7 linked regions of the Cricetulus griseus genome follow. The protein of the gene in region 7 interacts with the protein of the main gene of each other region in a pairwise test. Links are inferred from orthologs where the notes say so. Each region holds a gene or a part of one and is shown on either strand. Other genes may lie near its edges. The genes, in order: Resf1, Srgap2, swi5-dependent recombination DNA repair protein 1 homolog, Cep295, Nup54, Ccdc88a and Exoc1.

Region 1 (3,959 bases), on a different chromosome or scaffold from region 7:
AGAAGTTAGCTGGTGGCGCTATGCTTTATGGCTCTGGGTGTGCTTTACGGACAAGCGCACAGCAATGACTACAGAGCATAGCAACCACCCTGGGAGGGCCTATGGGCCATAACAACCAGTTGACCAATCAACACAGGGCAAGCCCTCCAAGGCTGGAGACACACCAATCGTGAGCCTGTGCATACCCCTAGACACTCTCCTTACGCTGCCCTATAAGATCTTTCGGGAGCCCCTAGGAGCCGTCTTTTCTGGCCATCCACCATGGCGGGTGGGTGAAAGACCCGAGCTAACATGGGGATAGCTCGTTAAATTACAATAAAGCCTTGTGCAGTTTGCAGCAAGCTCTCGAATCCGCCTGGTGATTGGGGTGACCGCCATCCTGGCCTGGGACCCCGGATACTTGAGTTTTTGGGGGTCTAACATATCTATCTATCCATCCCACCTATTTCTGTTGAGCTCAAGTCAAGAGACCCACAATTGAGACCACCACAGAGTCAGCAACCGATGCAAACACACGGGTTCATTGATTACAAGCTGGATGCAAACACACAGGGGTTTATTTACTTATTTATTTTTGGTTTTTCAAGACAGGGTTTCTCTGTGACTTTGGAGGCTATCCTGGAACTAGCTCTTGTAGACCAGGCTGGTCCCGAACTCACAGAGATCCGCCTGCTTCTGCCTCCCGGGTGCTGGGATTAAAGGCGTGCACCACCACCCAGCAACACACAGGGGTTTATTGATTACAAGCTCAAGCTTCGACTGTCAACCAAACACTTCCATGCAGCCAGTGAAGGAGAATGACTCCAAGCTCTTAGGATAAGAGGTTTTTAAAGGGAAAAATCGCAAGCAGGGCGGCACATGCTTTGGCATTTCATGATTGGGTAAGATTGTGACCTTTAAATTCATTGGCTGGGGACTAGGATAATTCTAACACAGCTACAAGAATTGCCCGCAAGGGCATCTGGGGAGAGCAGATGTAGTCATTGGCTGGCCACCCGGTATGGTCTCTTTGACTGGGGCAGGCAGTTTGTGGTTTTTCTTAGAACTGTTTATAGCTCCTTTGCCAGAGCTGAATCAGCCCTGGACCACATATGAAAACGGTGCCTTTTTTTCAAAATGAAGTTTGTTCTGTTCCTTCAGTTCCAGCTAGGCTGGGCTCATTCACTCACAGAGATCTTCCTGCTTCTCACTTCCAAATGCTGGATGTGAAGGCATGTTCCACTAAGCTCAGCCGAAGGCTTATCTGCCCGGCACTAGGACCATGGGCCTGGGCAGACGCTCGGGGGCGGAGCGCAGAGCCAGCTGGATCCGCCCAAACGGAGGCCGCCACCGGAGCTCGGCGCGGTGTGCGCGCGCTTGGCGGAGGCCTCGGTCCGTGCTAGAGGCGAGTGAGCAGCCGGAGGGGCGGCAGGTCTGCGGCTTTTGTTCTCTGATCCGGTCTCAGTCTGGCTCTCGGTCACCTCCGTCCCCACCGAGGGGACGCTGGAAGCCCGCAGCCCGCTGGGGTCGCGGCGCGGGGCGGGCGCGCGGTCTGCGGTTGTTGGCCTGACGTAGCGGGCGGTCGTGTTGCAGCTTCACGTTCCTTCCTGTCTCGGGAGGAGAAGCTGAGCTTTGTTTTGTTTTTCGGTTTCTTTCTGGCTTGTCTTCCGCGCGCCCCAGCACCGCCCCCGCCCTTGCGACCCAGCGGCTTTGCATTGCGCTCCGCCCAGGCCTGGGTGAGCGTCGCGGCCCGCAGCATCTCGGAAGCAGTTTGCATTTGTGGTACTTTGAGTGTTTTCCTAGAAAAATGAAAAAGCAGGTGAAGTGTGTGAGCTTGGCGTGCGTTCCAATAGGCCAGCAGTAGAACTTGCGTGGGCATTTAAATTGCTAAATGTGTTACTTTTAAGGAGAAATCTTAAGTTTGTTTCTTGTTGACAATCTAAGGTCTTAGTAGCCTCTTTCCTAAGCCCCAGTAGGTTTCTCTTTTACCAACCCAATAACGAAAATTGCTAACGAAGTATTTTTGCTTTGGAATTATAGGACAATAGTGGACCTGGAGGAGCACACTTGAGTTCTGGTGGCAGGGATTATTTTGAGACTACCCTAGTTTAGTGGTTTTGTTTTTAGCATAACTATTACTAATTCAGTAAACTTAGTATGCTCTCAGTATCACTTTAAGGTAGATTTGCCCTATATCTTAAAACGTTTTTTTGCTTTTCCTAGGATCAAAGGTGTGAACGTACCGTACCCCTCGTGGAAGAGACTAAAAGATAAAATTGTATTTACAGGTAAGTCTGCACCTTAAAAAGCCTGTCCTGGTTTTACTGGACAACTACTAACATTTTACCATGGAGTAATTTATTTTGGAATAAAATGTTGAATCAACACTGGCTAAACCTACAGAACTTGGCCTGGTATGCCTTTAGTTCCAGCATTTGGGAGGCCAAGGCATGCAGATCTCTTTGATATCGAGGTCAGCTTCACCTGCAGATCTAGCCAGAGCTATAGAGAAATCCTGTCTGGAAAATAATCTAGAAAACTAAAAACAAACTTCCCCCAAATGAAACCCTTACACAGTGGATTTGATGACAAAGCTTAAATAATATCGTTGGCATGGTGCCTAAAAGCACTTACTACTTACTTTTTTATTCATGCCTTAGTAAAATAGGGGAGAGATGATTGTGGGGGCAGTGTTGGAACTCTGGGCCTGATTGCTACCCTGGGAGAGGTTATATTAGTTGGTGAATTAATGTTACCTAGGCAGAGGCTAGCTCTTAATTTGTGGTTGGAATGTAGTACCAGTGACTTTTTCTTTTATTTTTATTTTTTTTTGAAAATTTGTTTTATGAGCATAAGTTGTGCCCATTTGTAAGAGTACTTGGTGTGTGGAGGCGAGGGCGTGGGTCCCCTAGAACTGACATTACAGGCAATTGTGTATCTACCATGTTGGTGTTGGGACATGAACCCAGGTCCTCTTATAGGGCCACAAGTACTCTTAACTGTTGAGTCATGTCTTTCAACCCCTATACTCAGTGATCTGGAAGGGGTTGGGGGTGGGGAAGGGTGTTTCTATCCCGTGACTATAAAGCTTCTTAGTTTGGCACTACCACTTGGTTCCATCACTCTCTGTAAAATCTCAGAAGAATTTTACTTCCCTGCTTCAGCTTCCTCATCTATAAAATGGGATCACAGTAGTACTTACATTATGGAATTGTTTGATAGGCAGTTCAATTTGGTAATTTAAAGTTAAAATACATATTAAACCCATCTCGTAGCTTAGGCTGGCCTTGAACTTGCTGTCAAGCAGGAGATGACCTGCCTTCATCTCTTTATCCTTCTGGTCTTCCTGAATGCTGGGATTAGATTTGCATTCCCTGCTTACAGCTTGTTTGAAGTCAAAGTTACCCAGTGAATTCCTGGAGTACAGTAGTCTTTCCCTAGTTCTTTCTTTCTTTCTTTCTTTCTATCACCTATTTGGTTAGTTCCTTCTCCTTTACATTATTAGTGCCATGATTTTAGGAAATCAACTGCTTAGGGAATTGTTATCTTGTTAAAGTTTAGTAATGGTGAACTTCAAGCATCTTTGTTTTAGCAGGCTTCTCTTCCCATTTCTTTGGAAGCTAATTCCTGTAAAGACATTGGGAAGCAGTTTGAGGTAAAGCAAGAATTTGTACCAACCCTGGCTATAGAAATGCAAACTAAATGCAAACTAAAAAACCTTAAGACCTTCCGGATTTTTTTTGTTTTAGAGGCACCTGTGCAGTGCTTAGAATTCCTTGTATGCTAAATGAAGTTGTAAATGAAAGGTGTAGTTCGAGCAGGCTTAGTGAGATAAGTATCTCAAGTAAGATTAGAACTATCAAACAGATATCTAAGTAAGTATTATCTTTGAGCTCTGCTATTCTCTACCTTGGGTTCTTATCTGGTCTTATACCAAGAAATCACAAAGGAGGCTAAACTCAGGTTTTTGTTTTCATATG
Region 2 (3,500 bases), on a different chromosome or scaffold from region 7:
GTACTCATGAATTTCCAATTGCTTGATTTATTATTGTATTTTAATTTGGAAGCTGCCTATGTGGAAACAGAAATTTCCTGCAGAGTAAGGTCAGCTCCTGTGTGGCTGGAAGTAATATATTTGAGAGGACTAAAAATTAGCTGAGATTCTATCTTCTGGCCTTCTTGCCAAGAAATAATATTCAATTCCTGGACAATAGCTCTTTTGGAAAATTTGAAAATTTTATCCCTCGCCCCTCCCTTCCCCCATTCCCTGTCTGTTTTTTAAGGCAAGGTCTCTATGTAGTCTTGGGTGTCCTAGAACTCGCTATGTGGACCAGGCTGGCCTTGAACTCACTGAAATCTTCCTGTACTACTTCTGGAGTGCAGGAATTAAAGGCATGTACCACTATACCCAACCCTATGTCCCCCGCCTTATGTTACTTTCTGCTTGTGGCCAATCCCAGTTACACTTGATATGTAATTTCTTCTTTCAAAGCCTCTTACCTGAATTATGCAGGTCTACAGCCTTCACAGGACATTGTTTGGGCTGTAGAATTGTTAAATGAATGAAACTAACAAGGGGTGGTAACTGCTATTGACGTGTTTCTGTGAGAGCAAGTGTCTAATGAGATAAAGCAGACCAGAACATTTGGAACTTTTTCTTCTTCCTTGCTTTATATTTGAAAATATAGAGTATTCCTTTGGTCATGTTGCCTTTTGCCTTTAGGGTCTGAAAGAGGTGTTGTTATTTCTTGTTTTACTTAGTATCACTCGGTGACTAAGCAATAAAGATTACTGAGCCAATATAAAGGTCATGCTTACAGATAATGATGAATGAAAGTAAAAACATTGATGAAACTTATATGGAATCATTGCAGTAACCATCCTATACTTATGCATGGTCCTTCATATATATGTATTGAACCAGACATTCCCTGGAGGAATATGAATATTGCTTCATGTAGAGTTGATGCCATTTGTGTGACCTCTGGATGGAAATGCCTTGCAGGTCATGAAAACATACCACATGTACAATGCTGACAGTATCAGTGCTCAGAGCAAACTAAAGGAAGCAGAGAAGCAAGAAGAGAAGCAAATTGGTAAATCAGTGAAGCAAGAGGACCGGCAGACACCCCGCTCCCCTGATTCCACTGCCAATGTCCGCATTGAGGAGAAACATGTCCGGAGGAGCTCTGTGAAGAAGATTGAGAAGATGAAGGAGAAGGTAGATGTGCTCTGGCAACTCTAGAGACAGAAAGGGATGTTCAGAAGGCAGGATTGAGGAATTCCCCAGTAGGTGTCATGAAGAGCTAAACAAAGCAGCTCTAGTTCCTTTAGTGCCGAATCATTCTTTGTCTTACCATGAATCCTAGCTATTGGAGAACCTAAGCATATGAATTCTCAGACTTCAATTTCAAGTGTATTGACAAGAATCAGTAGTCACCTTACTCAGCTCATTTTCCAAATGGAGTTGAATGTCCTATTGCTTTAAGAAGTAGGGGAGACTGTGGACCTTGTAGTTTGGCTTTAAAATACCAGGGTTCACGGGAGACGTGGAAGTACCTTCTCCAGGGTGACAGCAAGGGTGGAGAATAGTATGTGAAGACAGAATCAAAGTAGAGTACACATCTGAACCATATTCATCTCATTAATCAGAATTAGAATCCAGCTTAAAGCAGATGTACACAGGGAGTAGCAGCAAAGTGGAAGCTCTTGGCGTGCTGTCCTTCACCTCTCACAGAACAGTTTTGACCTCTATTTTAAAAAGTAATAGTGATGGGTCAGCAAAATGGCTCATCGGATAAGTCACTGCCACTGAGCCTGACAACCCGAGTTCAATCCCAGGAACCCACATGATAGGAGAGAAATGACTTCTACAAATTGCCCTCCAATCTCCACAAAAACACAAAGGCATATGTGCATGGAAACACACACACACACACATACCACATCATATGAAATAAGTAAACATTTTTAATGTTTTTAACTTTAAAAAATGACTAAAAGTGAACTTGTGTTTTCTTTTTAGCGACAAGCCAAGTACACAGAGAATAAGCTGAAGGCCATTAAAGCCCGGAATGAGTACTTACTGGCTTTGGAGGCAACCAATGCATCTGTCTTCAAGTACTATATCCATGACCTGTCTGATATTATCGATGTAAGTACTTAAAGCTGGTGTGGGAGGCTGTGGGTATCTCTTTGCCTCATTTCAGAAGCCTACACTTCACATGTTCCCCATTTCTGTGTTCAGACATGTTGGCCACTTTGAGACCAATTTGAAGGTAGCAGCCATGATCCACTGTGTAAAGGTGATGCACTTTACACTTGATATCATTCATTCCTCACAGCATTCATGAGAGAAAAGCAAATACCATCTATAATATTGACTGACATTCAGAGAGTTTAGTGATTTACCCAGAATTAGTAAAAGGCTGAGACAAAATTTGTACCAAATTCTGATTCCTAAACCCATGTGCTCTTCTGTTTGTCAAATAATAGTCTCTTATATCAGAAGCTTGTAGAAAGAAGCAACACAAGAGTTAAAATGCCTTCCTTTATGTTTATATAACAATCCATGTTTCTTGTTGTTTTCTAATTTCATTGTCACATCACTCTTATAGATACTCAATGCTCTCTTAATTTGTGATCCAGAGAGCTTAGAGACCTACTTGCCCAAGGTTTTGGGTCTGCATTGTGCTGCAGACTAGGGTCCTATCTAGATGGCATCCAGATGCTACTGCTATCTGCTCTGTTCTCTTTTGAGAAAATGGCACAAAAATGAAAAAAGGAAGGGGGGCTAGTACGCATACATGTTTTATTTGTGGGTTACGCTTTGCTTTGATTTCTTACTGCTTCTCCTCAATCTCTGTGTCCTAAAATGTCTCTCACATTCAGAATGTAGTCCAGCCCAATTCCTGGACCAGCTTTGTATGAAGCTATGTAAGCAAACCCTTTCTCATGTCTTCTTTGAGTCACCAAAGTGCGCCTGGAGCCAGCTGATTGAGCATCAGCAGTCCAGTCTCTAGGACATCAGCAGTATTCTTTCTGAGACCTGGTATCTGCCTTGGGTTCTTGTCAATAGCAGCTGAGCTTGCAAGACTCAGCACGTGGTTTTCCACCTTGGTTTCTTCACAAGCATACCTGCTATGCTTTACATCATGTGGGGAATCTGGGCGCAGATTCACTATTATATAACTGATTAGCACATCTTAGGCTTGCTTCTGAACTAATCTGGAACCCTGCTCTATTTCCTACCACTCTACCCCTAGTAAAATAAAGACCTGGACTGTTTAAATCTGGCCTACATCAGGGTTGCTGGGGGAACTTTTCTAAAATACAGACTAGTTTCCTTTCAGCCAGGGAGTTTTGATCTGTAGGGTTTGGCCTCCTAAGGCCTTAGATGTCATCGTCTCAGCTGGTAAGTGGAGCCTTGGTCTGCATTCAGGCTCCTCTTTGTTCTCTTTGCTTGTTGATGCCAATCTGAACACTGTCCTTCAGTGGAGGTCAAACCCTACACCA
Region 3 (4,291 bases), on a different chromosome or scaffold from region 7:
TACATTTTGACAAGTTTTAATCTCCGAAGAAGTTCTTCCTTCTCTTGAACCTGCTTTGCCAATTTTGCTTTTTCTTCCTTTAATTTTTCTTTAGTATTCTCACTCTCAAAATCATTTTGGAGGGCACTGGAGGACCCAGTACCAAGTGACTTAGATTTGCATGCATTTGCATTCTCTGAGCTGTCTTTTTCAGACGCACTGTCTTTGTGTTTCAAACTTCCTTGGAATTCGGAACAGCTTTTTTCTTTTGATGATGCTCCTGGTTCTGAAGAGGTCTCATAATTTTCCTCCTTCTCTACTTTAAGTCGTTTCACCACACTACAAAAAGAATGAGATGAAGACCTTGTTTTCTTTAATCTTTCTTTAAGTGTTCCACTCATAGGCTGAAAAAGACACAAACAAAAATATTAAGAAAACATTCTTTTGTTTGTTTTTCAAGACAGAACTTTTGTGTGGCCCTGGCTGTCCTGGAACTAGGTCTTTAGATCAGACTGGCCTCAAACTCATAGAGATACACTGGCCTCTCTCTGCCTCTTTGGATTAAAGACATGTGCCACCACTGCCTGTCTAAGAAAACATTCTTCAAGTGAATCAATCTATTAGAAATAAAGACCGTACATTTCTATAGTACGTACAATGGGCGGCTTTTTGTCTCCACAAATCTCAAGCAAGTATCACTAATGCCTTTATTTCCCAGAAGCTCCTTTAGTCTTACTTTAGCAAGGTTAACTTCCTAAACTAGGCCTGAGACACTTCTCCCAGTCATCAGGAGTATTTGTTCAGCAGCTAGCACTTGCCTGGCAACACTAGAAATGCTTCAAAACTACAGACTAGGGAAAAGACCTGTCACCAAAGACTTTCCCTAAGGAATAGTATATAATTCAAATTTGAAGAATCTCAATAACCTGCTAAGAAACTCAACAAAATGAACTGATTCAAGAAGAAAATCTGGCAAAGACAGGAAGGCACAGGCTACACACTGACACTCCAGGGTCCTTAAAACTGCCACTATCAGAACATTTCAAAACACAGAAAGGGGGTGGAAAGCAAGATTTTCATACTTGTCTTCCTAAAGTATTTGTTTGGGGTGATGGTAGAGTATCACTGGTCCCCGGAGTGTCAGGTAAAGTCGATGCTGAATCTGATGTGCTCTTCTCCACCTTGCTCGATGCTGAATCTGATGTGCTCTTCTCCACCTTGCTCGATGCTGAATCTGATGTGCTCTTCTCCACCTTGCTCAATGATGAATCTGATGTGCTCTTCTCTACCTTGCTCGATGCTGAATCTGATGTGCTCTCCATCTTGGCGGATGTTGAATCTGATTCGATCTCCATCTTGGCAGAAGCTGAATCTACTGCACTCTCCACCTTGATGGATGATGAATCTGATTCGCTCTCCAGCTTGGTTGATGTTGAATCTGATTCACTCTCTATCTTGACGGATGTTGAATCTGATTCGCTCTCCAGCTTGGTGGATTCTGAATCTGATGTATTCTCCACCTTGTTAGATGCTGAATCTACTGCACCCTCCATCTTGGTGGATGTTGAATCTGATGCGCTCTCCATCTTGGAAGCAAACTCCTGATTTCCTTCTAAAAAGGAAAAGGCATGGTGATCAAATTAATATTTCAATTTTAATCAACAAAATTTTCCTTAGTGTACAAAACACCAAAAAGCCAGCAATTTCTTCCAATTATATATAGCTGTGATTTTTTCTAATTCTTTTCGAAGTTTTTCATTTACTTCTCCCCATGGGGAGAACAAGGTTTTGTTTTTTCACAACAAATTAACCGGCTATTATGCCATTGACTCTCACTGTTCTCCTTAAAATATCTCAAAAATATTGCACTTCGGGGAGGAAGGGAACTAACTTTACATAATCGAGAATTGTTTTTTTTAATTTTTGTGATAATTTTGCAAATAAAAGTGATACAGCTGGAATAATATAAATATCTTGAATCTTAAAAACTTTGTGCCTAGAACCAAGAATGCTGCAGGCAGGAGCCTTAGAAAGCAATGTGCACCCTATTTTGGTTTACCAAGGGGAAAGCCTCCCCAGAACCCATCTCCTCCTCCCTGGGCCCCATCTCCTCCTCCCTGGGCCCCATCTCCTCCTCCCTGGGCCCCATCTCCTCCTCCCTGGGCCCCATCTCCTCCTCCCTGGGCCCCATCACCTCCTCCCTGGGCCCCATCACCTCCTCCCTGGGCCCCATCTCCTCCTCCCTGGGCCCCATCTCCCCAAGCCCACTCCTTCCCTGCCTCCAGCACAGAAAGCCATCTACCACTCCCCTGGCCCCTCCTCCTCGCCCCTCCCCACAGAAAGCCATCGCCCCTCCCCACAGAAAGAACCCCTCTCCCACAGAAAGCCATCTACCCCGCCCTCTCCCACAGAAAGCCATCTACCCCGCCCCCTCCCCACAGAAAGCCATCTACCCCGCCCCTCCCCACAGAAAGCCATCTACCCCGCCCCCTCCCCACAGAAAGCCATGTATCCGGCCCTCCCCCGTCCTTTCCCCACAGCCCTCTACCGCACAGGCAGGACAGGGAGGCCGCGCTCGGGCGCCGCCGGGAAGCGCCGCTCTGTCAGCGCCACAGGCCGGCGGAGGCCGGGCGCCCGGAGCGGCCGCAGGGAGCAGGCCCCATACCTTCGTCAGCCATGCCCACTGCAGAACAACAGAGCCGCAGCCAGCGTAGCGGCCACAGGAGACGGGCTCGCCCCGGGGGCGGGGCCCGGGGGAGGAGACACGTCCGATTGGCTAGCGCCGCCGTAGCGGGCGGATGTGCCTGGGCCAAGCTCCCGACCGCGCGTGCGCGCAGGGCCGCCAGCCTCAGCCAGGGGGCGGGGCCAGACGTGCGCCGCTCGTGATTGGCAGGGCCGGCGGGCGCGCTTCGGGGCTCAGCTCCGCTCGGCGCGCGCGGCCGCCCCCGGGAAAGACGGCGCCGAGACGCTCTCTGCCCGGGCCTGAGGGGGGCGCGCTGCCGCCGCCGCCGCCACCGCCGCCGCCGCGGTCCTTCGCGGGCTGCCTTCTCGTGCCGCCTCCGGGGGCGTGCCCCGGAGAGAGGAGCGCGAGCCCCGCGCCCGCCCGCCCGCCCCCTGGCAGTCGCTCGCTCCCCGCGTTTTCCTCAGACGTGGCAGCGCCGGAAGCCGCGGGGCCTGCTCGCTCCCTGCCCGCGAGCCCTTCCCAGGCCTTTTGTGGTCACCGCTGGGCAGTGTGCGCGGCCGCGGGCGCGCCAGGAATCGGTGCGGGCCTCCGCAGCCCGCCTGGCCGCCGTCTGGCCCCCGACTTTGCTGTGCCCGCCCCGGCTAGTGGCTTCGCACGTTTTGGTCAAACCTGAGAAAACGTAACCTAAGGGCGTCCTTCTGGCACAGGGCGGGAAGCAGAGCAGTCGAGGGTCGGTGCAGAACTCACCTCAGACCCTGCGAGGCTACAGACTCGGCCTGAAACGCCCCTCCGTTTCCGGTGTTCGGGGGCGGGGTGGATGTTCGGATGCTAGGCAACCGCCGAGGGAAGCAGCTTGCTTGGGTGGAGCCCTGGGCGTAGGGAAAGCAGCTGAGTAACTTGTGAGTCACTTGGAAGTTTGCAATGGCAAGGACCACTCTTGTTACAGACGTGTTCTAACGGTGCCTTTGAAGTGCCAGAAAAAAGTGATTAGAGTCCTAAGCAGCAGAAACTTAATGAGGTTATTAGGCCTGTAGATGTTGCGGGCAGTTAATTGCCTACGTTCAAGTCTGGCACCCTAGTGGTTTTTTTGTTTGTTTGTTTTTTACTTGGTTTTGTTTTGCTATGCAGTGTAGAGGCCGTGTACCTGTTTGATGGTTTGGTAAGTGAGAATATCTACCTCCTACAGACGGGGAAATTAAATGATAATTTATGAACGGCAGTAAGAACAATTCAACTACCCAAAAAAATTTAATGGCGTTTTTTATTCAAGCATACTCGTCATCCCCTAATTGACCTAAAGCTATGTATCACAAGCTTTTATCCCTTACCTTTCTTCCCAAAAGCTCAGATTTTTTTCAAAATGGTGCTATGTCCTACAAAATTTCACACAGCCTAAGCCATAAATACCAGAAAACATGGAGTCTTCACATATGACTATTAATAAATATTTCACTCCTAAATGTTTAAGAAACATGAATTAACCTTACCAACTTCAGGACACCAACAACAGAATTTATGATTTTATGATACAGGTGCTACTTGCCAGCGCACAGATCACTCTGCCCACTAATCCTCACTTTTTCCCTGGTAGGAGTTGATCTCACTGCAAAAAGGGACTTTCTTGCCTTG
Region 4 (4,072 bases), on a different chromosome or scaffold from region 7:
CAAAATGAAGGCTTCCTCATTAGGACTCAATCTCAGCTTCCCAGTGTTCATTACCTTTCTTTTCATTTCTGTGTATTTTAAATTCAAAGGATCTGAATTGAAGAGAAATAAATATATGAATGTCTATAAAATATATTACAGAAATAGGGCAACAATTAAAATAATTACAAAACTTCAATGTATTTATATACATATACACCCACATGTAAAATCACACAGGTAAACAAAGTCCAACTTATTTACAAATAGTTATAAATCTGGTCTTTAGATCACTGGTTGTCAGATGGATGAGAAAGAAAATGAAGAATGGGTAGAATTGCTCAGAAGTTTGTCCCCACCTATAGCGACTGACAAGATTTCAGACCTTACTTTTTCCCTGTTTTGGCATTTCCAAAGTTTATGAAGCACTTAAAAGATGTGTTGGCACCGAATAAATGTTTTCTCAAGAACAATTTAACCTGGTAACCTATATGTAAACAAAAAGAAAAAGGGTCCTTGTTTGCTGTATATAATTTAATCACCTAGCACCACTAAATTTATTGCATTTTATCAATTCCATGGGCTTAGTCTAAAAGATTCCTCAACAATTACCATGACCAAAAGTAACTTGGGAATAAAGGGCTTATTTCAGCTTACAGTTCTACATCATAGTCCATCATTGAGGAAAGTCAGGACAGGAACTCAAACGGCAGGAACACAGAAGCAGGAGCTGATGCAGAGGCCATGAGGTGTTCTGCTCACTGGCTTGCTCAACCTGCTTATATCATTCAGCATGAACAGCCCAATGATGGCACAGTACACAGTGGGTCAGGCCCCATCAATTATTAATCAAGAAAATGTATTACAGATGTGCCTACAGGTAGATTTTATGTGAGCATTTTCTCAGTTGAAATTCCTCTTCCCAAACCACTCTAGCTTGTGTCATGGTGACATAAAACTAATCAGGATATATGTTATCCTTTTTTAAAAATGACCACTTTAAAATAAAACAAAACTAAGAATAATCCTAATTGTATATGTGAAGTACTTAAGATTCCCAGGTATATTCTTCTATTGCTATTTTTGGGTGTCCCTGATGTCCACTCTACACTTCTTTTCTGTGTCTATGGTTCTGAGATGGAACTCAGGGCTTTGTACATGTACATACTTCCACTGTGCTACAGTCCCACTCCTCTTCTCTAAAATTTTTAACATGCTCTTAACTAGAAGAATTTGGTATGGGAGACTAGAATGTGATAATCTATAGCTGATCTAATTTGAAAACTCTTTCCAAGTAATTCTGCTACCAACCTGTTCCCATGATCACTTAGCGTCACCACACCATTGTGATTTTATATGAGATGAGTGCACATCTCTCTGGTCTCTTCATAGTGATGAGCAGGCAACTGTATTACTGGGTATTTGCAGCTCTGTGAAGCTAGTTTAAGCTTAGCCCCTTCTACTTTACTCACTCATCTTACCTAGAATATAGACTATCTATATGCATTTTCATAAAGGGATGGCTTGTCCTTTACTTTTCACTAATTACTATTTGTCTTTTGTAGCTATAGTTTTGTTTAAATTCTCAATACTCAAGTAAATATAATAACTTAAAAATACTGTTTTGATGAAGTGCTTGGGTAACCTGGTAGGAACCAATACTTTTTTCATCAAATTCTCCATCACAAGTGTGGCCAGGACAAGGGTGGTTGTATTCATCACCTTATGTTTCTGTCTAAAAAAGCTGTCTTGCACTTTATAGATAATTTAGGGTGGACTGAATTAGACAGTGACTTAGTACAGTACTACATGGGCAGACCAAGTCATGGTTATATACAAGAGGGCTCTGATGTCAAACAGGAGTAATTGCTTGAGTTGAAAACCTTTTCCAATACATCCCATTGATATTCTTAAAAAAAAAAAAAAAGCAAACTCTAAAGGATGGCTGGGGATCCAAGGGAGGAATATTGCAAATTGTTTCCCATAGGAGAAAATTATTCCTTCTACAGTTATCAAGTAGAATCCTGTTGTCTGGTTTATTCACAAGTCATTTCTATCCGTGTGGATTTCCAAGTTCTATGCTTTGTAACTGTGCAATAATAGATACAATAGGACTTACCCTGATATATTTCATTGCGATAATTAAGCAGTAGTATCTGACACGCAGTAATCACAACATTAACACTAGACTTAACCGACGTGGATGCAAAAGCCAACACTGCCATTCACTAGCAGAAGGCAGTAGCCAAGTCTGAAATCCCTTGGGTCCCGTTTCTTTACTCCTTGTAACGGTAGTAATACCCACCACACGGGGTTGTACTAAGTGTGGCTTAATTGCTGCGAAACCGCCGAACACATTATAATAATAATAATAATAATAATAATAATAATAATAATAATAATAGACTAACAAGCATTCGGTACCGTAGTTTCTTGTCGCATAGGTTAGCCTTGAACTCGAGGCACTAATACCTCCCGAAAGAGTGCTGGGATCTCTGGGTGAACCAACACTCCCGGCTGAGACTGCCATTTTTTCAAAGCCCACTGTGACAGGAGTCTCCGGGGGTCGGATTGCACAGAAGCGCCACGCTCTCTGCAGGACCCGCCTCGGGAGGTTTAAAGGGCCGGAAGGCTCGCCCGCCTGCTCGCGGCCTGCGGGGAGAACCCCGGCGGGCCTCCGTCACTCACCTGGCAGCGTGTGCAGTTGGACCTCACGGCACACGGGCGTCCACAGGCGGCCTGCTACCCAGCAGCCGTTTGGGCCCCTGCGGGACGACCATCGCCAGGTTCTCGTCACTTCCGCCATTCAAACGGCCCGCCAATGGCGGGAGCGGACGGCGGGAAGCACCTTGCTCCCGCCTCCGCCGGGGCCGCCGGGTAGGCCTCGCCGTGCCGAGACCCCGCCCACGTGTGGTCCCGCGCACGCGTAGCCCTGCCTACATGCGCGCACGCGCAGTTTTGCGCCGTGGCCCATTATTTCTCACAACTACGGTCTGGCGCTGTGTCACAGACCCGAAAGCAGAGATGTGGGAAAGGGAAGCTCTCTGGCGGGCCATGAAAGGGGACATCAGTCCTTCTTGTTCTTGAGGCGCGTTTGGTTCAGTTGCCTGGCACTGTTGACCTGCTGATTGGACAAATGTTGTGCTTTACCAGGCTGACGTCTTGGAAAGAACATTTCCCAAGTGGAAACTGGGGATTGAGACGTGCTCCGTTTTTAATGGGAAACCAGGAGGAATCAGAGCAAGCGCAGTAGGCTGAGAGAGCGTCAGGCTGCACATCGCGACTCTTACTTATTACATGCTAGCCTGGACCCTAAACCCCTGGAGTCGTAGTTTACTTTAGACCTTTATTGTTGTAGACCAAGCCACCCTGGAATGTCCAAAGTGGCGTGTTCTTTTCACCTGGCATCTGTTTCCTAAGCGAAGGGTTCTGCTGGAAGTGTTCAGTGGAGTGCCTGGCTCCCTGTTCCTTTGCCATGGGGACCAGACATCTGTCTCACTGCTTGTTCCCTGTGTTTTCACAGGGAATGTCCTAAGAGAGCATTCTCCGGGGAAAGAGTGAGGCTGCTGAGTGCTTTTGCAGGGAAGCTGAGGAATTGTAAAATTTGCCGCATTTTACTGGCTAAGTGTCAGGGCCAGCCCAAATGCAAGTTAGGAGGAAATTCTTTGTGGGCATCTTAATCCTTAGTAATACTTGACTTGCCCTCGTCCCTGAGTCCACGGGACACTCAAAGTTAATAATCATGTGAAGGCACTTTGCACATTCTCAAAAACTATAAGGTCTTCTGTTAGAGTGTTTTCTTTCTTGTTTAAAACTTTGCCCTTTGATATAGATCCAGCCCCTCAGGTCACAGAAGTATGATCAAGAAAGGACAATTGCCATCCTCTCTCTTGCCTATGTGACTGGCCCATGCATGGGTACATGTCCTAAACTGGGCCAACGGTATTTTGTAGTAATTGTTCTTACTGGAACCAGCAAAAATGAACACATTCCTAAGTTTATGCTGGGGTATGAATCTGGAGCCTCGCTGTGTAAATTCTTCATCAAGTGACTCTACACAAGCTGATCTGAAAGCACAAGTCTGACACACAAT
Region 5 (3,500 bases), about 14 Mb from region 7:
CAGAAATGCATTCTGTAGCCCAGGCTAGCCTTGTGCTAGTGTTGCAGAAGTGCAGTGCCATGTCTAGCCTGATTACCCTGCTCATTCATGAAGAGCGGGACTGCTCTAGTTCCCTTGTCCTTCTGCCATTTTCTTCTTGGTGGTGGTGGCTTTAAGGTTAGGCGAATTATATTGTTGCTGTTTCTAGCACTATCTGGTGACTGACTCAGGTTATACTTCTTGGGTCTTGCTTGCAGAAAGTAGCCCATAAATTTGGCAGAACCATGAGAGTAAATAGTTCTGGGGGTGTGGGGGTGGGGAATAGTAAGAAATATTTGGTATAGAAATATATCACTGAGCAAATTGTCTCAAAAAACAAATTCTATCACATTCATCTACCTCGTTTTGGTTTTTGTCATTTAAGTTGATTTACAAATGAGCCTAACATAGAGGTTTACTTTCAAAATTAAAAAAAAAAAAAACAAAAAAACTTTTCTCCTATGAAAACTATTTCCAACTTCAGCCAGCAGTCTTAAAACATTTGTGACTGTCGGTTATAAATCATTGTGCTGTGTTGGTATTTGTCGCTGTATGTCATAAAGTCAGTGTGTTTTAAATTGGCTGTTTTCCTCTAGGACAGAAGTTGTCATTTATGTTGTTGAGCGTTCTCCAAATGGCACCTCGAGAAGGGTCCCAGCAACAACACTGTATGCTCACTTTGAGCAAGCTAACATTAAGACACAGCTGCAGCAGCTTGGGGTGACACTTTCTATGACCAGAACAGAACTGTCCCCTGCTCAGATCAAACAGCTCTTGCAGAACCCTCCTGCAGGTATGTGCTGGAGCTGGCTAGTTGGTTATTAATGCTAGAGCTTGTCACATGTCTGCTTACTTGGAATGTATTCTTGAATACTGTGTTTTAGTCAGTTGAGTTTAAATTATGTAGCTAATACATTAGAAATTTTGGGAAGTGATAATAATTCATAATCTATCTGCGTGTAGGTAATTCACTTGAAATGTGTTGGGTTTCTTTAATCTTTGTTTTAACTATTTAAGTAAAACTTAAATGTGTTTGCTCTTTTAAAAAAGTCTAGGTATCCCAATTAAGTAGACTGATATTCTAGCTTGTCTCTCTTTCCTAGAGGTAACTATTAGTAGCGCTGGACTCTGCCGATCCTGTGTCTGTGTTGTTAAATAAAGGCATACATACTGGCTGCAGCCTGCCTTTTCACTTACAGTATTTCTTAGTATTTCTCGTGTTAGTACATGAAGATGAACTTTATTCTATTTAAACACTATATAGTATTTTATAGATATACTTTACTTAGTATTGTTTCTATGCATTAACCATTCCAAACTAAGCAGCCGTTGATATCTGTAGAAATTTATCTTAGAACACATGCACATTTAAGTTTTTTTTAGAATAAGATGCCTGGTACCTGTACTCTCAGCCTTTGTGAGATGGAATGCAGAAGATCATGAGTTTGAGGTCACAACCTGGACTACATAGTGAGGTTGAGGGCAGCCTAAGCAACATAGTATGGCACCAATACTCCCCTCTACACCAAGAAGTCCACTAGAATAAAATTCTGGTAGTGAGACTTGAATCACTGTGTTATGTTTGTTAGGTATACTGGCAAATTGCCCTTCAAAGAACTTTCTACCAATTATATTTGCAATTGTAATATATTCGCTTTCTCTCTTTCTCTTCCTCCCTTCCACCCTCTCCCTCCCATAAATTAGTTAAAAAGAGTAGTGTATTTTCCTGATGACCAGGTTGACTATCTTTTCATATTTGAGAATAGACTTTTGATGTCCTTTGCTCATTTCCTGTTCAGTTCATGGTGCTTTTGTTTTTGTGGACTCTTTCTGTGTTCTAGAGTTAGTTGTATTATACCGTATGTTGCAGATACTTCTTTCAATCCATCTTTATAAGATTATTTTTGTAATGATCATTTTTTTAAAGTAATTCCTCATGGCTCCTGAAGTCGGTGTCTAATTTTTAGAAAGCATTTCCCATACAAATATAAACGCAGAAAATCATATGTTTTAAAAGAATATCTGAATATTTTTGTTTGTGGTAGGTGTTGATCCTATTATTTGGGAACAAGCTAAGGTGGATAACCCCGATTCTGAAAAGTAAGTGTATCACCATCTTATTTTATATACAAACTGATACTTGCCAGAAAGAAAGCAAACAAATATGGGCTATTAGTTGTATTCTCGAATTTAAAGAGTTATTTTCATTGCTTTTTAAAACAGTTCTACCATGGTAAGGCAGTAAGATGAGGTGAAACTAGGTAGGAATGGAGAAACCTGAATCCTAGCCACTTACTGCATTTTCATTTATAATGCAAGTTTTTGACTGACCTGTATTTCTTCATAAAATAGGGAGGTTGAAATAGCATAGTAATTGTTGGTCTCAATGCCACAGATTAGAAATTCATTATAAAATTATATGAGGTCTATTATGAAATACATCTTCATGGTTTTCGTAATAAGTTCTGAAAAGTGACCTTGCATTTTAGATTAATTCCTGTACCGATGGTGGGTTTCAAAGAACTGCTTCGAAGACTGAAGGTTCAAGACCAGATGACTAAGCAGCATCAGACCAGATTAGATGTAAGCATATACCTTGCATTCTCTATCCTGAGATGTTTTTACCATGTGTGTGCTGTTTTTTCTTACAGGAAACTAGCACACTGCAGATCAACAGCAACAGCTTTATGCACCTGCTTTCTTTATGGTATAGCCCCTACACATAGACTTTTTTTTTTCCTTTAATTTTATGTGTATGACTGTTACCTATATGGTCTATATATCACATATCATGCCAGAGAGGGCATTGGATCCCCTGGAACTGGAATTACAGACTAGTTTGAGTGTGAAATTGAACCTGGGTCCTCTGAAAGACCAGCCAGTGCTCTTAACATCTGAACCAACTCTCTAGCCTCATGAATTTGATTTGATGTATTTTATGAGTTTAGATTTATAGCCTAGATTTATTCAAAGTCTGCTTTATTTTATTTTTTTAATGCAAGGACTTAGCAGACCCAACCCTGATTAACTTCTAAAATCAAACAAGATCTCATGCACTGTTGGTTTTCTGACTACAGATCTACTTCCACATTCTCTTTCGATTCCAATTTCATTAGACATGAGTAAGCTTACTGTTTGTAAAGCAATCCCTTTCATTGCCAGCCATTTCTGTGAATGCAGTTCTTCTTTTACACTGATTTAGCATTTCTGTATGCATAGCCACTGTTTCCCGTAAAGCCTTACAAATATTTACACATAATTGTTTTTTCTTCTTAGTGTTTCTCTGACCAAAAATTCTAGCATGATCTCTTGTGGCCTAATTTCCAGGCTCTATTATGTTAGTCTGCACACACTGAATTCATGAGTATCACCTTTAAAATAAATTGTTAGCTTCAAATTCACTTGTAGTCAAGGATGACCTTGAACTTCTGATTCCCCTCCCCTACCTCCCTAGTCCTGAGATTTCAGGTGTGTGCGCATCA
Region 6 (3,500 bases), about 65 Mb from region 7:
TCTAGGTTGAAATTCTTGAAAATGAAATTATTCAAGAAAAACGAAGTCTTCAGAATTGTCAAAATTTAAGCAAGGATCTAATGAAAGAGAAAGCTCAGCTTGAAAAAACAATTGAGACATTGAGAGAAAATTCCGAGAGGCAGGTTCGTGTATTTCTCACTTGGTTGTGTTAAAGTAAATGTTTATACACCACTACAAGGAAACCAACTAGCACTTTTTAGATTTCAGACTGACTGTAATAGCTTCCTTTATGTATAGTTTTGCTTCTGCTGTTTCACTGTAAACTGAAGTCTGTTACAGTTCAAAATTTCAAGTCATCCAATGTATCCAGCTATTTCTAAAAGTTAGCAATCTGTAAAGTCTGAGTTGTCTATACTTCTGAGTAGTGTCATGAAATCTGGTCCCATTCCAGGTGATGCACATGAATGGTTATTTTGCACACAAGTTTCTCCTTGTATATCCACTGCCTGCCTATTACTGCTGTCACAGTGTTTTCATTCAGGTCATCCTGACTTCACTTGATAATGGTCCTAAGTTGCAAAAATAGTAATACTAGCATTTCGATATGTCAAGGAAACTAGTAAGTGCTTCCTTAAGATGAGAAGTTTAAAGTTTTCCACATAGTAAAGAAAGGAAGAATATATACAGGGCTATGATAAAATTATTGTTAGTCTCTTACTGTGCCTAATAAATGATCAACAGTGTGTGGAAACAAAACAGTACATACAGACTCAGAACTCTTTGCAGTTTCAGGTTGTCTGTGGGGGATCTTGAAATATATTTTGTCTGGTTAGGGAGGAACTGCTATACCATTGTACATATTCTATACCATAATTTTAGAAAATTGGAAGAGAAGCTTAGAAAAATGTAAATTGCCAGTTTACTTAATAACAATTGATTATAAATGTTCTTCAGTTCCTGTGCTTTTCACATGTCTGTAGAATAGCCCTGCAGATTTTAAAGACAAGTTGGAGAATGCACAGTACTCCCTCCATGGTAACAAGGAAGGAGTGAGATGGCAACAAACATCTTGAAACTCAGAACAGGTTATGCTACAAATTGGATGGATTTGTTTTTAGATGGACTAGGTCATTTTGTTGTTTATATGTTACTCAGTTAAAATTTCCTTTCACAAATGATTACACACACAAAAACAAATAAGGTACACATACTTACCAAGGACCCACCTTATGTAGGCAAAATAAAGATTATTTGATGAAAATTAAAACCTTGTGTCTTTAAGGATATTTGAAGTAGATTAAGTCTTAAATAATCCGAACATCATTTTAATTGTAAATACTTGATTCTTAGATATTCCTTTAGATTGTTAAGTCCCTGAAAACATGAACTTAGTGGTCTGAAAGTGCATCTACAAGGTGGTCTTTCAGAAAACATTGTCATGTTAAAAATAGTGAGCCATATACTCCAGTACCCATGTTCTTTTCTTGTTAGTTTTTGATAGCTTAAAGACTATGCTTATGCATTGTAATTTTACATTTTCTTCTTTTTTTCAATTAGATTAAAATACTGGAGCAGGAAAATGAACATCTGAACCAAACAGTGTCTTCCTTACGACAGCGATCCCAGATTAGTGCTGAGGCAAGAGTGAAGGACATTGAAAAAGAAAATAAGATTCTCCATGAATCTATCAAAGAAACAAGTGGAAAATTAAGCAAGATGGAATTTGAAAAAAGACAAATGAAAAAAGAATTGGAGCATTATAAAGAAAAAGGAGAGCGAGCAGAAGAACTTGAAAATGAGTTGCATCATCTTGGAAAAGAAAATGAATTGTTACAGAAGAAGATAACTAATTTAAAAATTACTTGTGAAAAAATTGAAGCATTGGAACAAGAAAATTCGGAACTAGAAAGAGAAAATAGAAAATTTAAAAAAACTTTGGATAGCTTTAAAAACCTTACTTTTCAGTTAGAATCCCTAGAAAAAGAGAATTCCCAACTTGATGAGGAAAACTTGGAACTGCGAAGGAACGTGGAGTCTCTGAAGTGTGCAAGTGTGAAAATGGCCCAGCTCCAGCTGGAGAACAAAGAGCTAGAGAGCGAGAAGGAACAGCTCAAAAAGGGCCTGGAGCTCATGAAAGCCTCTTTCAAGAAGACTGAACGCTTGGAAGTTAGCTACCAGGGGCTAGACACAGAAAATCAAAGGCTACAGAAAGCTCTAGAAAATAGCAATAAAAAAATACAACAATTAGAGAGTGAGCTACAAGACTTAGAGATGGAAAATCAAACATTACAAAAAAACCTAGAAGAATTGAAAATATCTAGCAAAAGACTTGAACAACTAGAAAAAGAAAATAAATCATTAGAGCAAGAGACATCTCAACTTGAAAAGGATAAGAAACAATTGGAGAAGGAAAATAAGAGACTCCGGCAACAAGCAGAAATAAAAGATACCACGTTAGAAGAAAATAATGTAAAAATTGGAAATTTGGAAAAAGAAAACAAAACTTTATTTAAAGAAATTAGTGTATATAAAGAATCCTGTGTTCGTCTGAAAGAATTAGAAAAAGAAAATAAGGAGCTTGTAAAAAGAGCAACTATTGATATTAAAACTCTGGTTACATTACGTGAGGTAAATATATTCACCTAAACTTAAGCAAACATTTTTTATATTTGTAGCCCATGTTTTATTGAACCCACTTTTAACTTGTATCATCTTTCCTATACTTCAGTAAAATTTTGGAATTAGAACTAGAAACAATTTCTAACTGTCCTATTTAGATGAAAAGTTTAAATTACATTTAAAAATTAATTGGAGTAAGTGTTTTTACCAGGAACTTGGCTAAAGAGTCCCATGCAGAGTATATTCAAGTAAATTGATACGATTTTCATAACCAATCATTTAAATACTATCTATCTTTCATAATAACGAATAAGTTCAGAAATATTAACTTCCTCAGAATCACAGAGTTAATAAAAGAATTGAATTTCTGCTCGAAATTTTAGATCTTTCAAACTCCAAAGCGCTGTGACTTTTTTTTTTAGAAGCCTGAGCATGAAAATCAGGTTCAACTTAAACTGCAACACTGAACTATTGAGAATTCTGACATTTCTAAAATTTGGTGACATCTCCTGTAATACTTGCTACATCAGAAATATGTCAGAATGGAGTCTATGCTCAGTTTAAAGTATGGGGATGGATGCTGGCATGAGGACAGGGTTGGTTATTTTACAGTTCTGTGTCTGAATTTCTTCTTTGAGGCCTTAAGAAGGAACTTGCCAATATGAGCAACATGCCAATAAAAAATGTTGCTAGTTCTTGAGATCAGTGTGTTAGGCCTCTTCCTTCTACCACAAGAAAAGAGGTTTGTCCTAGTGGAAGGGTGTTGTATCTTATGTAAGTTCATAGGAACAAATTGCACATAAGTTTCTGTGCTTCATTAAAGCCCTTGAGTATGTTGGAGGTTCCTTACTGTTTTCAAATCCATCTTGTGTGTTTACCAGGACAGACTTTCTTATCATTTTATAACACAGCATTAGAAA
Region 7 (3,500 bases):
TTGTCTAGTTTTTGCTATAAATTATATTCTCTGAGCATTTCAGTTCATTTGGTTGATGTTTGTGTGTAATAATGGAAGCCTGGCTCTTGGATATGTGAGGCAAGAGTGCTACCACGCAGCTACATACCTAACCATTTACATGGTATTTTTTAATAGTCTTTTTTTTTTTGTCCCCCCAAAACAGCTTCCATTTTTAATTTTTAAATAGATTTTATATTAACAATGAAAAGTGATAGGATCAAAATCAAATGAACTTTTACATTTTTTTTTGTTCTAGGAAAACCCTGAATTTGATTTACATTTTGAAAAAATCTATAAGTGGGTTGCCAGCAGCACTGCTGAAAAGAATGCATTCATCTCATGCATTTGGAAACTGAATCAGCGCTATCTCCGCAAAAAGATTGACTTTGTCAATGTTAGCTCACAGCTTTTGGAAGGTAAAAGAAAATGAAAGTTTATATGTGTGGTCAAGTGTATCCTTAATGAATATATAATTTGGTGTTATTTAAAGTAATTAGGATACTGAATTTACTTCACAATATGTCATAAAAAATTTCAAAGTAATTTTTCTTAGTGAAGACGTTATGAGTGTACATTATAGGATTTTGGTATATTAAATTTAAAAAGTAGCCGGGTGTTGGTGGCGCACACCTTTAATCCCAGTACTCACTCAGGAGGCAGAGGCAGGTGGATTCTCTGTGAGTTCGAAGCCAGCCTAGTCTCCAGAGCAAGTGCCAGGATAAGCCCAAAAGCTACACAGAGAAACCCTGTCTCGAAAAACCAAAGGGAAAAAAAAAATTAAAAAATAAAGTCACTCATAAGCCTGGACTTGGTGGCACAAGCCAATAATCCCAGCTACTTGGGAGGTTAAGGCAGAAGGATTGCAAGTTCAAGACCTGCCTCAGCTCCAGAGTGAGGCTTTTGGACAACTTAGTGAGACTGTCTAAAAATAAACACTGATGGCTAGAAATGCAGTTTATTGGTAGAGCACTTGCCTGGCATGTGCAGAGACACTGGATTCAATCTCAATACTTAAAAAAATGCCCAATTATAAAGATATTCCTAGGAGATAACTGCTGTTAAAATTTTGGTGTATTATTCTTCTAGGCTTTTTTCTATGAATACTTAAATAATTTTCTTATAGAGAAATTTACACTTTTGTTTCCTAGCGTTCTTTTTTTTTCATATATGAATTCAGCCCAAACATTTATTATGTTACTAAATACTTACTCCAAACATTTTTTAGCATCAGAGTATTCCATTGTCTGGCTATGCCATTATGTGTTTATTATGGTTCCTGCCCTTTCTTATTTTAAACAGCTGTGGGATAAATGTCCCCACAGCACTACTTTCTTGCCTACCATGGACATAGTAATAACTAGTACAGTTCTGGCCTTATACTGCCCGAGTTTAAATTCTGGCAGTTCCCATTGTTTCTAAAGTAGAGATGATGATAGTATCTACCTACAGTTATTATAAATATCCCAGGTTTATAGTAAATGCTCCGTAAATCTCATTTCTTCTTAGCAGCATGGAATCCTTAGACAAGAGGTTAATGAGGGTATTTGTGAGTTATCTGCCTTTGCAAATGTTCCTATGGACTGTTGTTCTGTGTCTCAGGACAACCTCTTCTCTGAAGTATTAGAATGTTCAGAAAGATTACATTCTTTGAAAGGATTTCTTTCCTAAGGGTGTAAGCAGTATATGGAAATGGTTCTGAATTGCCCATGGATGCAGTTAGTATAGTACTCTCTATCCCAAAGAAGAAAACTGGTCTTTTATTGTTTTGAGACAGGATCTCGCTATGAAGCCCAGGCTAGTTTACAATTCACTGTGTAGTAAATTCCAGGCTGACTTTGAACTCTCGAGGCTAGGCCTCCTGCCTAACTTTCCCAGTGAGCCATCATGTCCGCCTTAAAACTTCATTTATGTGTTTATTGGGAGGAGAACATGTGCATCCCATGGCACCTGTGTGGAGGTCAGAGGACAAAGTTGTGGAGTTCTCCCTTTCATCTTTATATGGTTTCCAGGGATTGCATTTGGGTCACCAGGCAAGGTTCTATAACCACCAAGCTATTCTCTGGCCCAGTGTTCAATAATTTATGATATAGTTTGAAGCAAACCATTTATCTGGCCACTTGCCTCTTTTGTTTTATTTAGCTATAGACTTTTCTCCTTTCAAGTAGATGATTCTTTCCCAGCAGTTCTACTCTCTGGCCTTGATGCTTAGAACTGGCAGATATTTATATCTGGCAGATCTGAGCAGCCCCCACACCTAAACCTCTTCCCACTGAGACACTGGCCTAGGTTAGGAGCATCAAGGCGCTGCCATATCACTAGTGTCTGACTGCAGGGTGTGTGGACTCCCTAGGAATTTTTCTTACCTTCAATTACAGATTCATTTTCTTTGAATGACTTTGGAGATTTTTGTTTTGCGTGTTACCAATTGAGGCAAGAATACTCTCATAAGTCAGTCACTCATTGAAAAGCTTGCCATTCTGTTTTCAAATATTATGTGTTTCCAGATGTTATTTATTCCTAATATGCTGACATGTATAATTAGTAAATGTCTCTAGGTTTTGGATAATTTTGGGGTGGAGGGAACCTCATTACCACCTTATGTGAAGAGCTAAATAGTCACCCAAGTAAGTTGATGCTATTGTAACCGTTCATGTAGCAGAGGCAGCAGCAACTTTCATAGTTTCTAATAAATGACAATTGAACATTGGAGTTTTAGAGATGGAGAGGGAAGTTCTGTTTTCTATTTTTTTCTTTTGACTTGCAGCTAGATTGTTAAATAATCTTCCACTCGAACCTTTGAATGCCTGCTTGCATTGCTGTCTCCTTTGTTTGTTTCTTACCTCAGTCGTATTCTTTGAAACAGTGTTTTGTGACTAATCCTTTGTGAAGGAGTGTCCTGGAAAGCTTTGGACTTGGAGTGAAAATAACTACACTAAATGCATGAGTCACAACTGACCTAAAAATACTCCCCAGGAAATGATTTAGTTTCCCAGTTTTCTTCTTCAAGGACTAGTCAGTACTGTTTCTGACAGACTGAGAGGAGATACAGAAGGACACTTTTACACAGCGAAGAAGAAAAACAAGCATGAAGTTCAGCTTCTTAGGAATCTGTCCACTGTGGCTGGTTTTGGCAATGCCCTTAGAACCCATGTTCCGCATGAAGTTCAAATGAGATATGGGTAGTAGTTAAAAGTTTTAAATCTGTACACTATTTTCTACCCAGCTAATATTCTCTGCTTACTTTCCTCTGCTTTTCTCGTACCTTTTACTCTCCAGAACTGCCTAAAGTTACAGAAGGTGCGTAACCCTGTTCTTCTTACTCTATTCCATGTGTATATGTTACTTGCCCCTGTTGTATACTATTGGTTGCATATTTTATGGAGTTGTATACAAGGATAAATTTATTACAAAATCCATAGAGTAATAAAAGTAATAGTACTATTCATTATTAGCTCCCAAAGGAATGTTTGAGGAGAAGA

The links.
Region 1: the proteins of Exoc1 (region 7) and Resf1 interact in a two-hybrid assay, tested with the Homo sapiens proteins (2 studies listed by BioGRID and IntAct). The link is inferred for Cricetulus griseus from reciprocal best matches to the Homo sapiens genes EXOC1 and RESF1.
Region 2: the proteins of Exoc1 (region 7) and Srgap2 interact in a two-hybrid assay, tested with the Homo sapiens proteins (2 studies listed by BioGRID and IntAct). The link is inferred for Cricetulus griseus from reciprocal best matches to the Homo sapiens genes EXOC1 and SRGAP2.
Region 3: the proteins of Exoc1 (region 7) and swi5-dependent recombination DNA repair protein 1 homolog interact in a two-hybrid assay, tested with the Homo sapiens proteins (2 studies listed by BioGRID and IntAct). The link is inferred for Cricetulus griseus from reciprocal best matches to the Homo sapiens genes EXOC1 and SFR1.
Region 4: the proteins of Exoc1 (region 7) and Cep295 interact in a two-hybrid assay, tested with the Homo sapiens proteins (2 studies listed by BioGRID and IntAct). The link is inferred for Cricetulus griseus from reciprocal best matches to the Homo sapiens genes EXOC1 and CEP295.
Region 5: the proteins of Exoc1 (region 7) and Nup54 interact in binary tests that used the Homo sapiens proteins (3 or more experiments, as listed by UniProt). The link is inferred for Cricetulus griseus from reciprocal best matches to the Homo sapiens genes EXOC1 and NUP54.
Region 6: the proteins of Exoc1 (region 7) and Ccdc88a interact in a two-hybrid assay, tested with the Homo sapiens proteins (2 studies listed by BioGRID and IntAct). The link is inferred for Cricetulus griseus from reciprocal best matches to the Homo sapiens genes EXOC1 and CCDC88A.

What each region holds. Positions count from the first base shown.
Region 1 is NC_048601.1:387,014-390,972, reverse strand, and holds the start of Resf1 (retroelement silencing factor 1), read left to right. Parts: upstream 1-1,159; 5' UTR 1,160-1,411; intron 1,412-1,449; exon of another isoform or gene 1,450-1,798; intron 1,799-2,202; 5' UTR 2,203-2,267; intron 2,268-3,959. UniProt on the Homo sapiens protein: Plays a role in the regulation of imprinted gene expression, regulates repressive epigenetic modifications associated with SETDB1.
Region 2 is NC_048598.1:57,700,363-57,703,862, forward strand, and holds part of Srgap2 (SLIT-ROBO Rho GTPase-activating protein 2), read left to right. Parts: intron 1-990; coding exon 991-1,206; intron 1,207-2,010; coding exon 2,011-2,139; intron 2,140-3,500. UniProt on the Homo sapiens protein: Postsynaptic RAC1 GTPase activating protein (GAP) that plays a key role in neuronal morphogenesis and migration mainly during development of the cerebral cortex. Regulates excitatory and inhibitory synapse maturation and density in cortical pyramidal neurons.
Region 3 is NC_048596.1:13,804,928-13,809,218, forward strand, and holds the start of swi5-dependent recombination DNA repair protein 1 homolog, read right to left. Parts: upstream 2,801-4,291; 5' UTR 2,658-2,800; coding exon 2,645-2,657; intron 1,592-2,644; coding exon 1,062-1,591; intron 384-1,061; coding exon 1-383. UniProt on the Homo sapiens protein: Component of the SWI5-SFR1 complex, a complex required for double-strand break repair via homologous recombination. Acts as a transcriptional modulator for ESR1.
Region 4 is NC_048597.1:128,863,392-128,867,463, forward strand, and holds the start of Cep295 (centrosomal protein of 295 kDa), read right to left. Parts: upstream 2,801-4,072; 5' UTR 2,786-2,800; coding exon 2,668-2,785; intron 2,602-2,667; exon of another isoform or gene 2,422-2,601; coding exon of another isoform or gene 2,391-2,421; intron 93-2,390; coding exon 1-92. UniProt on the Homo sapiens protein: Centriole-enriched microtubule-binding protein involved in centriole biogenesis.
Region 5 is NW_023276807.1:157,226,286-157,229,785, reverse strand, and holds part of Nup54 (nucleoporin p54), read left to right. Parts: intron 1-614; coding exon 615-811; intron 812-2,063; coding exon 2,064-2,118; intron 2,119-2,507; coding exon 2,508-2,601; intron 2,602-3,500. UniProt on the Homo sapiens protein: Component of the nuclear pore complex, a complex required for the trafficking across the nuclear membrane.
Region 6 is NW_023276807.1:77,811,636-77,815,135, reverse strand, and holds part of Ccdc88a (girdin), read left to right. Parts: intron 1-5; coding exon 6-143; intron 144-1,518; coding exon 1,519-2,589; intron 2,590-3,500. UniProt on the Homo sapiens protein: Bifunctional modulator of guanine nucleotide-binding proteins (G proteins). Acts as a non-receptor guanine nucleotide exchange factor which binds to and activates guanine nucleotide-binding protein G(i) alpha subunits.
Region 7 is NW_023276807.1:142,982,077-142,985,576, forward strand, and holds part of Exoc1 (exocyst complex component 1), read left to right. Parts: intron 1-277; coding exon 278-437; intron 438-3,500.